Oryctolagus cuniculus: one gene and its partners. The protein of the gene in region 1 purifies or fractionates together with the protein of each later gene. This does not show direct contact. Links are inferred from orthologs where the notes say so. Each region holds a gene or a part of one and is shown in the gene's direction. Other genes may lie near its edges. The genes, in order: RARA, KLF5 and PML.

Evidence for each region.
Region 2: the proteins of RARA (region 1) and KLF5 purify together in Homo sapiens (affinity purification with western blotting; 4 studies listed by BioGRID). This does not show direct contact. The link is inferred for Oryctolagus cuniculus from reciprocal best matches to the Homo sapiens genes RARA and KLF5.
Region 3: the proteins of RARA (region 1) and PML purify together in Homo sapiens (affinity purification with western blotting; 6 studies listed by BioGRID, with this or other methods). This does not show direct contact. The link is inferred for Oryctolagus cuniculus from reciprocal best matches to the Homo sapiens genes RARA and PML.

The regions. Positions count from the first base shown.
Region 1 is NC_091448.1:22,125,592-22,131,228, reverse strand, and holds the start of RARA (retinoic acid receptor alpha), read left to right. Parts: upstream 1-1,958; 5' UTR 1,959-1,973; coding exon 1,974-2,190; intron 2,191-3,474; coding exon 3,475-3,623; intron 3,624-4,840; coding exon 4,841-4,982; intron 4,983-5,637. UniProt on the Homo sapiens protein: Receptor for retinoic acid. Retinoic acid receptors bind as heterodimers to their target response elements in response to their ligands, all-trans or 9-cis retinoic acid, and regulate gene expression in various biological processes.
Region 2 is NC_091440.1:39,668,459-39,672,459, reverse strand, and holds the end of KLF5 (Krueppel-like factor 5), read left to right. Parts: intron 1-2,894; coding exon 2,895-3,073; downstream 3,074-4,001. UniProt on the Homo sapiens protein: Transcription factor that binds to GC box promoter elements. Activates the transcription of these genes.
Region 3 is NC_091443.1:109,482,437-109,488,064, reverse strand, and holds the start of PML (protein PML), read left to right. Parts: upstream 1-1,992; 5' UTR 1,993-2,057; coding exon 2,058-2,186; intron 2,187-3,521; coding exon 3,522-3,985; intron 3,986-5,628. Other genes in the region: STOML1 (stomatin-like protein 1), read right to left, coding at 502-634.

The DNA.
Region 1 (5,637 bases):
GACCGCAGGCTTTGGAAAAGGGGACAGAGATGAGGGGTGATGCCAGGACCATTCTACCAGAGCCGGCTCGGTGGGGGTAACAGGGACAGGGTCATCAGGGCTACTACACCTTCCACTGCCTTCTCCACAGGACTGGGTGGAAGCTGGGACCCGAGCCCTGGGGCTCCAGCCCGGCTCTCCCTGAGTGTCTGGTGGGGACAGCTCAGTTCTTCCTGGCACTGAACTAGAGGGGGAGGAGGGCCAGAGTGAGGCAGCCGATGACTCCCCCAACCGCTGGACGTGGGGAAGTGGGGTCTGGGGTGGGATAGAGCCACAGACCTGGGCTTCCTGTTCCTGTAATCTCTGGGTGGGGGTGTCAGTGAAGTCCCCAAGGCTGGGGGTTGGCTGTGATGGCGGTGTGGGGGCTGCTCTGAGGCACAGGAAGGAGCAGGACCTGGAGGCCAAGGTCAGGACCCAGCGCAGTATGGAGTTTGTGGGGGCAATGTTAGCCACCCTGGAAGGAGCCCGTTGGTGTGGGTGGAGGTCTCCCAGCGCCTGGACCTGCCTTGCAGCCCCTCCCTGAGAATTCTCCCCTCCCCCTTCCCCTCTGCCAAGGGTTGCAGGAGAGGCTTAGCTGTGGCAGGAGACCTTTTGGGTCTTGCAGGGCCCTGGACCTTGCCCCCCCCCCCGCAGTCCCCTTCTCATGCACTAGAGAACAAGGGGTGCACAGGACGTGGCTCCCCATCTGTCCCCCACCCGTCTGCGCCGCTCACGCCTCCACCCGCTCCCAGACGTCCAAGAATGTGAAGCACGTGGATGCCCGTAGTGGGGGGAGGGGGAGATGCTTATCAGCCGGCCGCTGGGCTAGGGGCCTTCTTCCGCCGCCGGGCTACACCCGGAGCCACCCCCACCCGCTTCCCAGGAGGAGGAAGGGCAGCACCGAGGGCCCAGAGCCCACTCCCCAGCCCTCCCCGGGGGCTGTTTAGGGAGCTGCAGAGGAGAGGGCGCCAGCTGGATTGGGAAGGGGAGTCGCTGGCCGGGGGCCCGGCTGATTTCCTGCTGATCTCCTCCAGGAAACCGGCCCCTTGTGCGAGCCTGCGAACGAACGGCTCTGGGGCGTGGGGAATCCGGAGCGCTCAGCTCGCCCGGCGGCCAGGAGGGAGGTGCGGGGGAGGGGCGCCCTGGCGGCGGCGGGAGGGGACGCCTGGCTTCCTGGTCCGCTTCCAGCCCTCCGCTGGGCGCTGGAACTTTGAGCTGAGAAGGTGTGGTTCTTCTCCCGCCTGAGCCCTTCTGCAGCTGGAGAGGGATTTGTGGGCCAGGGCCTCTGGGTAGGGAGGTTAGGGGAGAGGCCGGGTCGGGCGGCCTCTCCCTGCCTCTCCCGAGTGCAGGAGTTCCTGCTGTATCCTAACTCGCGCAGAAACTGAGGGGCGCCTGGGGTCCCTCACACTTTTGCCTTGGGTCGTTTTACCTGGTCTTCCTAGGCTGCGGGCTGGAGGCCTTGGCCCCAAGCTCTGGATTCAAAGGGCAGAGCCAGAAACCTCAGAGCTGGGTTACCTGGGAGAAAGGTGGGGATATTCTCAGGCTGGGGTGTTGCAGCCTCAAGGGCCTGCGGTCAGTGGCCGGAAGGGAGGTGGGAGGTGTCACCGAGTCCGAACTGTAGCCCCTGCGTGGGTTGTCTCCCCCGTCTTGCCAAAGATCATTTTAAAAAGCACTTTCCTCCAGTTCTGCACACACCCTCTGGACTTTGCCTTAGCTCCCAATTTCTGTGTGCCTTTCCCGGGCCTTAGAGCCCTGCCTCTCCCCGGGCCCCGCCTCCCGGCCTCCACTCTGCTCCCTGCCCCCTGCCCCCTGGGTCCTGCCGCTGCTGCTGGTCTGGCTCATTTTTGGGGTGGGGCCTTGGGAGGAGGCGGGGCCCAGGGCAAAGGGTGGATTAACAAGGGAGGCCAGTGCCTTCTTCCTCTGCTTGTTGGAATGCTGAGCGGGGATTCTAGGCCATGGCTGCCCCCCCCATGTCCTTGACACCCCCCCCCCCAGTCTGGATTGTCTATTGTTACTGTTTTTACGTCTTGGAAAAAGTTAGCACAACAAAGGGCTTCTTTGTGGCTCACCCCTCTGCCTCCTGGCCTCACCCAGGCCCCCCAACCCCAACCCCCCCCCCCCCAGCAGCTGTCCTCAGGCCTCCCTGCCTGTCTGATTTGCTTGTCTGGCCTGGTGAGAATGAGATGGGGGGGAAAACCAGGGCGGTTGGGTGTGGGGATGAGGAGCTGAGGTTCTGGGAGAGGTCAGTGAGGAGTGAATCTGTGGACCAGTGGGGGACAGCATCTACTGTCCCTTTGCTGCAGGCTGGTCTCTGGGCAGGGCAGGGCTGTCAGGCTGATGTGGGCTCTGGTGCCAAGGCTGTTAGCCTGGGTCTCGGGCGTGTCTGCGGCTAAGGGGTGACGCGCGGCCGTGAGGTGTTTGAGCCAGGAGCTGTGGGCTGGGGCGTGGAGCTGGGCTGTCAGGATCGCATCCTCACCCTTCCTAGGCCTTGCACAGGTGGAGGTGGCCAGGGCTGCAGGAGAAGCTGTACGGTTCTCATCCAGCACACTGCACCCCCCACCCCTGCCAGCCCATCCCTGTTCTGCCTGGGGCGATGGCAGAGAGCCAGGCACTGGGGAGGCTTTGGTCAGTGGGGGACAGCTCCTGCTGGCTAGGTCACCCCTCCTGGCTGCCCTCTGGGGGCTGAATTAACAGGAGGGGAGGGGTGGTAACCCGGACATACTGTTGAAGCCAGACAGACAGAGCATTGATGGGAACAGACCCCCCTTTGTCATGCTGCCTCCCCTGAGGCAGGGGGCACCCAGGGTGATGGGCTTCTAGGGCTCTGTCCCCAGGTGGTCTCTCCACCTATCTCAGGGGACCCCCACCTGCTGTGCCCCAGCCTTCGGGATTCTTCTTTGTACACCCGCCTGGGTCTGCCTGGGTCCTCGGCCTGGGGATTGTTTGGGTGGAGGAGGGGCCCTGGCTGTTGGCAGAGGGGGGTGGAGGGAGGGGCAAGCGGAAGCAGAGGGGGTGAGGGAGTGGCTGGCTTTGAATATCCTGTTGACCCCCATTTCCTCTGCCCCCAGCTTGTGTCTTCTCTCCTCCCTCCTCATCCAGCCTTAACTCCTTCCTAACTTGGGGGAGTACCGGCCAGGCCACCCGAGGCAAGGCCTAAGAATAGGGCCGGACCACCTCCTCCCAGGCAGAGCCCAGTACACAACACACACCCACATCTGATGGTTTATGATCTCAGCTTTCTGTGTTGAGGACGGGGTCCTGGGGAAGTAGACGGGCGTGATGGGGTCCCAAGGCTTCCCCCAAGCTTGACTGGGGAGTCCCAGCTTTCCCGAGACCGTCCCTGCCAGCAGTAGTGAGGCTGGGAGAGGCTCTGGAGGGAGACCCTGAGCAGGGCGGGGCAGGGCATCAGGGATGGCGCCTGGTCTCTAACCGCCCCCTCCCTTTCTCTCTCTCCAGCCATTGAGACCCAGAGCAGCAGTTCGGAAGAGATAGTGCCCAGCCCTCCCTCGCCACCCCCCCTCCCCCGCATCTACAAGCCCTGCTTTGTCTGCCAAGACAAATCCTCTGGCTACCACTATGGGGTCAGCGCCTGTGAGGGCTGCAAGGTGAGACTGGGGACTCTGGGAAGGGCAGTCTTGCTTAGATAAATGGGATGTCCCCGCTGTCACGCCCTGGGAGAATTCGGTTGAGGGCAGGGGCTGTCCCTGATGCTGCTGCTCTTGCTTGTGTGTGGAAGTTGCCAGCAGCCTTGAAGGAGGAGGGGGTGCCAGCAACAGAAGCTCCCCCATAGATGAGCAGGGCTCCCCCCAAACCAGAGGCCCCCTCCTGCCCGAGCTCCCCCCGCCCCCGTCTCCATGCTCCAGCCGGCAGGGCGTGCTCCGCTCTGCCACCGCTGCCCAGGTTGCCATGGTGAGCTGGCTGCCGACCGGCTCTTGGCTGGGGACCCAGGAGGCCTGCCCCCGGCGGCCCTGCCTGCACCTCGCCATGACAGCCTGGCAGGCGGCAGTTAGGAGCGGAACCCTGCCTCGGCTTCCCCTACAGGTGCTGAGGCTGTGGGCTCCCCAGCGTCTGCATTTTTCCCGTCCTCATGTTAGGCCCCAGCAGCTCTGGGCCTGGCTGGTCCTCTTCCTAGGACCAGAGCCTCCACACCAGTTTCTCTCTCTAGATATTAGGGTTTGGAAGCTGTACAGTCTTGGGGCTCTGGGCTGCCCATCAGCTACCTGTCGGTGTGGGACACAGGTTCAGGGCACAGCTCAGGACCTAGACTGTGTGTGTCTGCCTGCTCTGTCAGGTCGTTTCTGACTTGTTCCTCATCTGTGTCCCTGGGGAGCCTGGGTGTGGGGCCTCTGACCAGCCCGGGTCCATCTCTGAGTGCTTCATGCACGTCTGTCCGGGTGGTGACTGGGTCTTGCCACCTGGCTCCTGAGCGTGTGTGAGTGCATGAGTGCCTCCGTCTCTGGCCAGCTCACGTGTCTGAGTCCAGGCTGTGGGCTCCAGATTCCCGCCTCTGTCCCAGCCAGCCCCACGGGTTACAATTCCTGACTCAGCAGCAGCCCGAGGTCCTTCTCCCTAGAGGGAAGGGGTCAGGTGTGTGGATGGAGGCTGGGGGAAGACTCCTGCCCACCTCGTAGCGCTGAGGCAGTAGCGGGCTTCTCCCAGGGGTGACTCATCGCCCCATCTTTTCTGGCCTGCTCAGGGGGGTGATGGGCGAAGGCTTGGGAGCAGCCGCTGGCCTGGCCCACTTTCCCCAGCTGCGACTGCCGGCTGGGCGCCACTCCCGCTGTGGGTGTTGGTGACCTGACTCTCCCCTCTCCGTGCCCAGGGCTTCTTCCGCCGCAGCATCCAGAAGAACATGGTGTACACGTGTCACCGCGACAAGAACTGCATCATCAACAAGGTGACCCGGAACCGCTGCCAGTACTGCCGGCTGCAGAAGTGCTTCGAAGTGGGCATGTCCAAGGAGTGTGAGTGCCACGGGCGGAGGCCGGACTGGCCGTGGGTGGGGCCCGTGGTGCTCCTGCAGGCCGGGCCGTTGGGCCCTGTGGCTGTGTGTGCACGTGTGTCTGAGCATGCGTGCTGGGGCGTGTGGCTAAAGCTGCAGGGACCTGTGAGATTCTGGCTGGCTGTGTGTGTGTGCAGGTCCAGTGTGCATGTGCGACTGGCTGTGTGTCCTTGCATGTGCGTGTGTGTGTTTTTGCTCCCAGGGTTCCCTGAGTCCTTTCCGAGCGTGTGTCTTAGGGGAGAGGCCTGGGATCCGAGGGGTGCTGGGTGGGTTTGGAGGGCTTTGCATAAGGATTGAAAAGCCAGGATGTGGTGAAGCTGAAGATCTGGAGTTTGAAGACAGAATTGGGACTTCTCAGGTCCCAGAGAAATGGGGTCTTCCGTTTGGGCTCAGCTGAGGCCTGAGGGAGGGAGGAAGGGAGGGAAGGGCTGGACAGGGAGACCCTCTTGTGTTGAATCATGGGTGTTGCCGTGGTGACCAGTGATTGATGATGTCAGAGATAAATGACGCTGACAGACGCCTCCTTGTCTGCGTGGCCGTTGCCATGGAGCCTGAGCCTTGGGGGATGAAGAAGGGGGAGGGGTCTGCAGGACCCCCTAGCCCTTTGTGGGGAGGGT
Region 2 (4,001 bases), on another chromosome or scaffold:
CAGTACCTTCATGGAATGGTTTTCAGGACTGCTCAGGTCTAGAAGGTTCTTCGCAGACTGCAGCTCTCCTGGGGTGTGCCCTCCCGCTTCATGGAGTCTGGGGTTGAAGGACTGTTTGTTGTGAGTCCATTAAGCTCTTCCTTAGTTGACCTTCACAAGAGGCCTTAGAATCTGTAAATAAATTTGAACAATATGTATGTGTTCCTTAAGGCCTTCAAAGGGAATGTATTAGTGTTTGCTAATGGAAGATTTAAGAGAGACATTAAGAGGCAGCCCAGGAATCTTAATGTGGAACTCCTCATTTTGCTTCTGATTGGTGGGGTTATTGTGAGGATTGAGTGGGATAATGAGAGGGACCTGGCTCTGGCCTGTGTGCTCAGGAGATGTTTGTGCTGCCCTCTCTTCCTCCCACTGCAAATTTTTCTGCTTCACATGTTGATAAAATATGTTAAATGGCTTTCTCAGTGTGGACAGTATGTATATGTAACTTGGACGTTTTCCCCCAAAGATTAGGGACCCTAGCAAAGATAATCCTATGCCTTGAAAATGGAATATTAAAAAGTACATATTTTATTTGAGATAAAGTTGAAGCTTGTCTTGATGCTGTGCAAAGTTGTCATTTTTTTCTTTTTGCCTTTGGAAGGTTTCACATTAACAGCATGAGAACTTAAAAATGCAGTTGATGTTGAAAGAGCTTAACTAAATATTTTAAATTGCTGGTATTGGAAAGCGATTCTGTAAAAATCCAATTAAACCTTGGAAGTTCTGTCCTGTCGAAGTACAACGTAAAGGAAGTCAGCTGGGCTTCCCAGAAGTACTGTATAGTGTTTCTGGCTGCCGAAGAAAGGCCTGAGTCTGCTGTTTGGCCAGAAATTGGGTACCAGCTTCCTCCACGATGTTTTCCTTGAACAGTGTTGACACTTGAACAAATCCCGCAGAAAGTGCCCAAAGTGGGGAATGGTTGTCCTTGCTTTCATAGTAAGACTTGGCCCCAATAACTAATGTTCCACACAGTGGTAGTATTCTTGGCTGAATAATCTATAGATGTACATAAATCGAGAGTAAAACCCCAAGTGTTTTAGGAACTTTAATGGCTACTGTATTTCAACTAATCAGTAAAGTAAACTTTTAAAAATATTGGTGCAGTTTATTGCTTCAAAGCCAATAAAAATAGTGAACAAAGAGAGTCTAGTGTCCCTTGTTTCTTAAATAAACTTTGAAAATTCAGTTCTGCTGCTATTTAATTATTCAAAAGACTAGAATGATTTCTTTTAAAATTGGGGCACTTTAGGAAGTTTTTGTCCTTGTTGGAAACATCAGAAATAACTTTCCATTAAGTGACAGTATTTAGCCAATATATTTCTGTGATTTAGCTTTCACAAGAAACAAAAAATAAACACTTCTGTCAAATTATTTTCCCATTTTATTTGTGTCTGAAACATGTTAGCTGCATTTACTAGTATTAATATTTCTGTGTATCAGATTTTATGTAAATATATGTGAAAGAAATGTGGCTTATTTCTCCTGTCATTTTAGGTTTGAATGTATTAGCTTAAATTTCAAGTTAGCATTTACTGAGGCTGGGGTTGGAAGGGAGTGCCCACCAGAGTTGAGATGTACATTTTTTAAAAATAGAGTTGATAGGAACCAAGAAGTAAATTAAAAATAAAAAAGGTCTTAGGTCTGAGCCAGGAGAGCAGAGGTAGGAAAAGTAGCTGGAGATGGTGAAGGTTGGGTGTTCTGGCTTTCTTATGTCTTTATGGGATTTTATTTATTTAAGAGTCAGTTTAAAAGGTGTCTCATTTAAAACTCAGCTGTAAACGAATCCTGCTTTAACCTGCAAATTCATCTCATATTCTTAACTTTAAAAGCTACTGATGTTCATAGGTAATTGTAACAAAATAAAATATGAATATAGGAAATAGTCTTTCGTTGAACAGTAATTAGTATTTCCTATATTCAGGATATATTTAGCATTCATTTAGGGGACTACATGATCTCAGGATTAATCTTAAAACAGAATTAAGACTGCTATAAATATTAAGTAGTTTTGAAAGTGAAACAGCTAGCAAACTTTGGAGTACATTAGGAATAATACAAATTGCAGAATGGAAGGGGCTCAGGTATCCATCCGCTGTTCCAATGAAGAGAGCTGGGAAAGACTAGCATAGGTAGATCAGATGAGAGATTTTATTCACTGTTGTACCCAAGCATTCCAGACCATACCTGGAATTTAAGAAGATGCTTGGCAGATTGGCTGTGGGATAAGTTTTGATCATTTTTTTTGGTTTAACACTTGACAAAAATTCATAGATCAGCAAATGTTAGAGTTGTTGTGGTTGTTTCAATATTATCGATACCAAATTTTGTGATCTGGTTTCAAATAGAGTTGTGGTACCCGAAATTCGTTGTTAAGGAGATTTGAGCAATCCCTTTTCGATGAGCCCCAAAACTTTTCCCCTCCCTATCCCATGTTTTAGCTCTTAGTCCTACTACAGCAGTTCTACCTAGTCCTAGTATAGCAGAACCTGTGTGTGTCCAATGAGGCCACTCAAGGTCATCTCATCATTTCATGGAATGTGTGTGCCAGGGGTATATAGAAATAAAGGCGCTGGTTCGTCTTGCATTTGCCTAATAGTTGCCATTGTTCGGTTCCTCAAAGGCCCGCAGAATATTTTTTCTTTGCATAAATACTTGTTAAATGCCATACATGGAATGGCACTTCCCTAGGTCAATGAGAGGGGATTCAATGTTGATTCAGTTCATCATGGAACTCGGGAGCTTCCCTGCCTGACTTGGCCCCCGATTTAAACCCAAAGCCGTGCTGCTCAGGTGCTGTCTACGACGTCTGTCTTCCAAGCAGGCCACCTGACCCCTTTTGTTGGTTGCCACAGGTGAGAAGCCGTACAAGTGCACCTGGGAAGGCTGCGACTGGAGGTTCGCGCGCTCCGACGAGCTGACTCGCCACTACCGGAAGCACACGGGCGCCAAGCCCTTCCAGTGCGGGGTGTGCAACCGCAGCTTCTCACGCTCGGACCACCTGGCCCTGCACATGAAGCGGCACCAGAACTGAGCGCCGCCGCCAGCCGCCCCACGCTCCGCAGCCCTCCTGGCCACCTTTTCCGCTACAGACTTAACCTGTTCCTATAAAATAAGAAAACAAAACAAAAAACTGGAAATGTATATTTTGTATATTTGAGAAAACAGGGAATACATTGTATGAATACCAAAGTGTTTGGTCGTTGTCAGAATCCGGAACGCTCGCTGTCACGGCTTTCCTGGGGCCGGCTTCATCTCCTGACAGGCAGCCGCATGCGGGTGGGGCGGGGGCGCCATCGCTTAACGGGACAGTGTTTGGTAAACAAGTCAGCTGGCAGGCGCCGGAAGAAGGATGGATAGACTGTGTGTGTGTCAAGATTTTACTTGACGTCGAGTAGGTTTTTTGAGGATAGATGATTCCCGATAGGTGCGCAGCAGTACCTGGCAATTCACAAATAATAGCCATTGAACAAATGTGTTTTGGGTTTTTTTTTATATATGAGTTGCCTATATTTGCTATTCAAGATTTTGTAAATATGCAAATCAGCTTTATAGGTTTATTACAAGTTTTTTAGGATTCTTTTGGGGAAAATAAATCATATTTCTTTTTGAAAATAACCATGAGTACATTCACAGAATTTGTCGTAAGATACCTTTCAACATCACCAAATTCATTTCTTTAAGGGGAAGGAATACTAATCATTCAAATGAACTTTAAAAGCAAATTTCATGCACTGATTAAAATAGGAGTGTTTATTTTAAATAAAAAAGACGTTTTATATGAATTGTAAACTGAAGAGCTTAAAGATAGTTACAATATACGAAAGTTAAACCTCTTACAATAAGCTAAACACAGTATCGTTTTTAAGAAGGACTGTAGTTTTCACATATGGCAATGTTGAATTGATGATGTTTTCTTATACTGAGATGTTTGCTCGTTCAGTACTGTCAGATAAATGACA
Region 3 (5,628 bases), on another chromosome or scaffold:
CCCAGTGCACATCGCTGTCCACCTGCGCACAGCGGGCTCAGAGCCAGGGCGCCTGGCCGCAGCACCGCCTCTTGGACCTACAACCTCGGGGCCGCCTGTCCCTTCCTGGTCCTCGCTCTATTCTAATGCCCTGAGGGCCATTTCAGTTCCATCCCAGAAGCCCAAGCTCGGGGAGTCAGGGGTCTCGGCCCAGCCCTGGCCTCCGGCACGAGGTCACTTCCTGCCCTTTCCGCTCCCAGGCAGCCGCTGTTCTTTGGGGTCTGCACGGCAGCCAGGACAGGCGTCCTCACACGGGGGCCGTGGTCAGCACAGGACGGCCCCGGGAGGCGCCGCGCTACCCCCGCCCCAGGGCTGTGGTCAGGCTGAGCGGCGGACACCCGGCCCATGGGGCCTGGGGAGCCGCAAAGGGCTCTGCAGCAAGACGGGCCCAGGTAAGAGCCGAAGCTCTGGGGGCAGCAGGGGTCGCTCCTTCGGGGGGCTGGGGCGTGGGCGGCCACTCACCAGCCCCCGGCCCCACGCCGCCCCGCTCCGGGGACCAGCAGCCCTTCTGCGAGCCCAGAAAGCCGAAGCTCGACTGCTGGAAGCGGTCAAAGTCCCCGAGCGGCAGCGCCCGGTACCCAGACCTGCCGAGCATGGCTCCTGACAGGGGGGCGCGGCCAGCGCCGCTGACCGCCGGCCCCAACCCTCAGGCCCCGCCCCCGCGGCCGCCGCTTCCGGCTTCCCTTGCGCGGCCCCGGCCGTGGCCGGAGAGGAGGCAGCCCGGGCTGCTCCCGCCGTCGCACGGCGCCACCCAGCGCTGGGAGGACCGCACTGCGGCCGGGCCGTGGGGGTGTGGCCTGCTCCTGCTCTTGCTCCTGGCTGGTACTTGGCCTTAGATGGACGCTCCTCGAGGTGTCCACACAGCCCGGCTGGCTCGGGGTGGGTGGTGGCGTAGACAAGTCCCGGCTGGAGGAGCTGCTATAGAACCCCAGAATTGGCCGGCGCCGCAGCTCACTAGGCTAATCCTCCACCTTGCGGCGCCGGCACGCCGGGTTCTAGTCCCGGTCGGGGAGCCGGATTCTGTCCTGGTTGCCCCTCTTCCAGGCCAGCTCTCTGCTGTGGCCCGGGAGTGCAGTGGAGGATGGCCCAAGTGCTTGGGCCCTGCACCCCAAGGGAGACCAGGATAATGCCATCGGATCAGCGCGGTGTTGATCACCTCCTAGGTGGCCCCAGCCTCCCCTCCCCCCTAAGGAAGACACCCTAGGAGAATCCTCTCTCGCCCAGTCTGAAAACTTGGCAGGAATTTCACACTCAGCAGAAGAGGATAGGGGGAGGAAGATCTGGACCCCATGCCCTTCCAAGCACTGACCGCTCAGCATCTCCCCAGCTGCCCCTGGCCCAGCAGGTGCACTGCCTCCGTCAGGCTGTGTGACCTTGCTGTCCTCGGTCCGAGCGGCTAGAAGCCGTCTCTGATTCCGTCTGCAGAGGGGCCTGTCGGTCCCGACCGATGCCTGCCCCCGAGAGCTTGCTGCCTTGCTGCCCGCGCCTCTCTGTCTCACGCCTGAGTCCTTCCTGGCAGAAGAACTCTGTCCCAGCCGCGTCCGCTCCGGGATGTCAGCTACAGGGGCACGGGATGAATCAACAGGGGGTAGAGATGCATCCCGGACGCCAAAGGCGGGAGAGCTGGGGGCGACAGTGCTGCAACGAGAGGAAATGCAGGCTGGGACCCCATAAACCGACATCAAAGGGCGTTCCGAGCTCTCCAAGCCCTGAGTCTCCAGTGACCAGCCCCCTCTCCAGCCCAGCCGGGGCTGCAGCCTGGGGTCTCCGAGGACATGGTCAGCTCCTGGGTGGCCTGTGTCCCCAATACCCCTGCTGGGGCTGGGCCAGAGCTGCAGGAGCTGTGATCAAAGTGGAAAGTCCCCCAGCCCCAGTCGCGACCCCTCCCCGCGCCCCAAGTCACTTCCTCCCGAGAGGCGGGCCCTGGCCGGCGCCTCCCCTTTGGCCTGACTCAGCCTCTCGTGCCGTTTCTCCCGCCCTCCCCGATGCAGACGGAGAATCGAAAGTGAACCGGACCCATGCAGCAGGATCCCGCGCCCGCCGGGTCCCCGGGCTCCCAGCGCGACGCCGGCCCGACCCGCACCCCTACCATGGCGTCCCCGGAGTTGCGCTCCGAAGGTGCCCCACGTAGCCCCAGCCCCGCAGAGGTACTGCGCTCACATGGCGGGGGAGGGGGTCGCTGGGAGGTGGGGGAGGAGGGGGGATAGGTGGGAAGAGGGGGGTGCAACGGGAGACTTGGCCAAGTACCTCAAAGAGTGCACCAGGACAAAGGACCAGGCACCAAAAGAGGTGCCCGGCCTCTCGCCTGGGGCCCGCGTGGGAAAGGGAGGGGACTAGCAACTCCAAGTTCCCAAGTTGGAGGTGGAAGTCGGCGGCCCGGTGGGCGCCCGGAACAGGTGAATGGGCAGGGGCCGCGCGGCTTCTGTGATCTCTTTCCGGAAGCCTCCAGGTGACCTGCTGGGAACCCCCTTCCCGCCTGCGCCCCACCTCCCCCACACACCCACAGGCACTGTGCGGTTGGCTGGCTCTGGGAACGCTCGGAAGCACGGCCTTGCGTTATTACAGCCAAGAATCGGTGGCTTAGCAGTGCTAGTTAGCACTAAGTTAGCACCGTTAGCACCGACTAGTTAGCACTGCCTAGTGCCAGGTGATAGATGAAGTACTTCCGGGGCTGCACTTTTTTTATATATATATGTTGTGGCAAGAGAGACATCAGGAAGAAGTGACCAGTGACTCCCTCCTAAGTGAGCGCATTTCACCCTCGGCCACCCTGCCCCCCAAGTCCAGCTTTGTCGTCACCCTGGAAACTGTGCCCTGCACGCGGTAGCGCCTGGCTCCCGGGTCACCTCTAACCCACTTTCCCACTGTGAACGTGCCCGTCTGGGCTGTTTCTGTAAGCGGGCCCGAGTCGGGGTTTCTCTGCGTGTCTGGCGTAGTTTGTTCAGCGTGATGTCTTCAAGCTTCAGGCATCCAGAGTTCGTTCTGTCCCGGGGCTGCGTGAGGGACAGTCCCTTCACGTGCAGAACGCATTGCACTGCCCAGCTCTGGGTCGAGCGAGGCCTGGGTTCGCGCACCCGGCTGCTGGGAACGGTGCTGCTGTGTGCACACCCTGGGGTCCCAGGGGGCTGGTGGGCCTCTGTTTTCAGAGTTTGATAGTTAGGGATGGGAATTAGGGCTAAGGTGGCTCAGTGCTTAGCAGCTTTGGGGGGAACCCCCTATCTGTGTAGAAGGGGGTACCTGGCTCACCTACCATCCAGACTGAGCTCCGTGGAGGTGGAGGTGTGTCCTGGGTCACCGCTGGGTCTCAATGAGCACATGCTGAATAGATGGGGTACTTGGGTCGTGCGTGGAGCAATGACAGGGTGGCAGGGGATGGTCCGGTCCCCCCCCCCCAGCCACAGGGACGGATGGGCGGCTGCAGAGTGGGGACTCCTGGGACTTTTCCAGGCCTTACCTCCTCCCTGTTGTCCTCCCTCCCCCAGCAAGCCGAGGAGGAAGACTTCCAGTTCCTGCAGTGCCAGGGCTGCCACACCCAAGCCAAGTGCCCCAAGCTGCTGCCTTGCCTGCACACGCTGTGCTCGGGGTGCCTGGAGGCGCCGGGCCTGCACTGCCCCATCTGCCAGGGGCCCCGGGCCCTAGACGGGGCGCCCGTCCTGGACAACATCTTCTTCGAGAGTCTGCAGCGGCGCCTGGCCGTGCACCAGCAGGTGGTGGACATGCAGGCCGCCTGCACGCGCTGCAAGGAGCCCGCCGACTTCTGGTGCTTCGAGTGCGAGCAGCTCCTGTGCTCCGGGTGCTTCGAGGCGCACCAGTGGTTCCTGAAGCACGAGGCGCGGCCGCTGGCCGAGCTGCGCAGCCAGTCAGTGCTGCAGTTCCTGGAGAGCACCCGCAAGTCCAACAACATCTTCTGCTCCAACCCCAACCACCGCAGCCCGATGCTGACCAGGTGAGTGGCCCCGGCCGGGCGTGGGTGCTGGGTGGGGGCATGCCGGAGCTGCTGGGGGCCCGGGGTCTGCAGATCGGGGGGTCCGTGGTGGTGACCCCAGTGGGAGACACCTGTCACCAGACCGCCAGAGGCGCTGGATTCCAGGAGCAGGTGCAGCGGTCAGAGCCGGAGCACCGGCAGCCAGGGCAGACGCCACAGCAAAGACGACCAAATCAGGTCAGAACTACTGTATTAACCAGCAAGCTCCATTCTGTTTTTACGCATGTAACCATTCCTATGCAGAGTGGACAGTGAGAGAGAGAGACAGAGAGAAAGGTCTTCCTTTGCCGTTGGTTCACCCTCCAATGGCCGCCGCAGCCGGCACGCTTCGGCCGGCGCACTGCGCTGATCCGATGGCAGGAGCCAGGAGCCAGGTGCTTCTCCTGGTCTCCCATGGGGTGCAGGGACCAAGCACTTGGGCCATCCTCCACTGCACTCCCGGGCCACAGCAGAGAGCTGGACTGGAAGAGGGGCAACCAGGACAGAATCCGGCGCCCTGACCGGGACTAGAACCTGGTGTGCCGGCGCCGCAAGGCGGAAGATTAGCCTAGTGAGCCACGGCGCCGGCCACCAATAAGATTTATTTAAGAGAGCGAGAGAGTGAGAGAGAGGGCGCAGAGTCTCCGAGCTTCCGTCATCTGCTGGGGGAACTGTGCTGATGAGTTTGAGTATTTCAGTTTCCGTGGAGACCAGAGATTTGTAACATGTTCACAGAAAATGAGGGCTGTGAGAAGGCTGTGCGAGGACTCCCAAAATGTTTGCGCCAACAGAAGCGTGTCTTTTAACGCCCGTGTCCCAGGCGCGTTCGGAGAGCCCCCTCTCGGATGCAGATGAGAGAAGTCTCTGAGGGGTCCGTGTGCGTGGGAAGGGGCTCCTCCTCGCTCGGCAGGGTAGAGCTGTGCACCTGCTGACTGCCAGGGGCTGGGCTCTGCCTCCAGAGAGACTTCTGCACCAGCGGCGAGTCCCCGCTTCTGTCCCCCCTCCCTCACCACCTGCTGTCACTGGTTTCGGTTTTGTTTCTTTTGACGGGCGTGGTGCTTAGTGGCTGGTGTGTCTCCTCCTTGGTGGGTTACTAGGAGCTGCACTTGGGTTTGTTTGTTGTTGTTTTTTTTTCTTTCGAAGAGTGAGTGTAGCGCTTGTCTCCAGGCACCTGTGTGTTCCGATGCTGACCTTTGCCCTCTGCCTGGTGTGTGCAGCCAGGGGTGTGTCTGCGCTGAGCTGCCCACGCCCGCTCCAATCTGTCCCGCTACCTGGGTTTCAGGAGCTGTCCCCCATTCTTCCAAAAAAAGGTTTGCTTTTCTTTGGCTATTATAGTTGATGAGGTTTTTAAAAACTCGTGTATTCATTGAGATTTTGGTTTGCATTGCATTAAATCTGGGGAGAATTGGTTTCATCTCTTGTTACATCTTTTGGATTTTGTAGCTGTATTCAGATGGGTCTTAGACTCATACTTAAACTCTCAAAATGATTGAGAATGGGACCTTTTTAGTGATAATTTATGATTATCATGAGCATTCACTAAAGCTCATTGTGTATGTTCGTGTTATTCACCATCTTGTTGAGATTTTTATTAGTCCTAGCAGTTTTCTCTTAAAAAAAAGAAA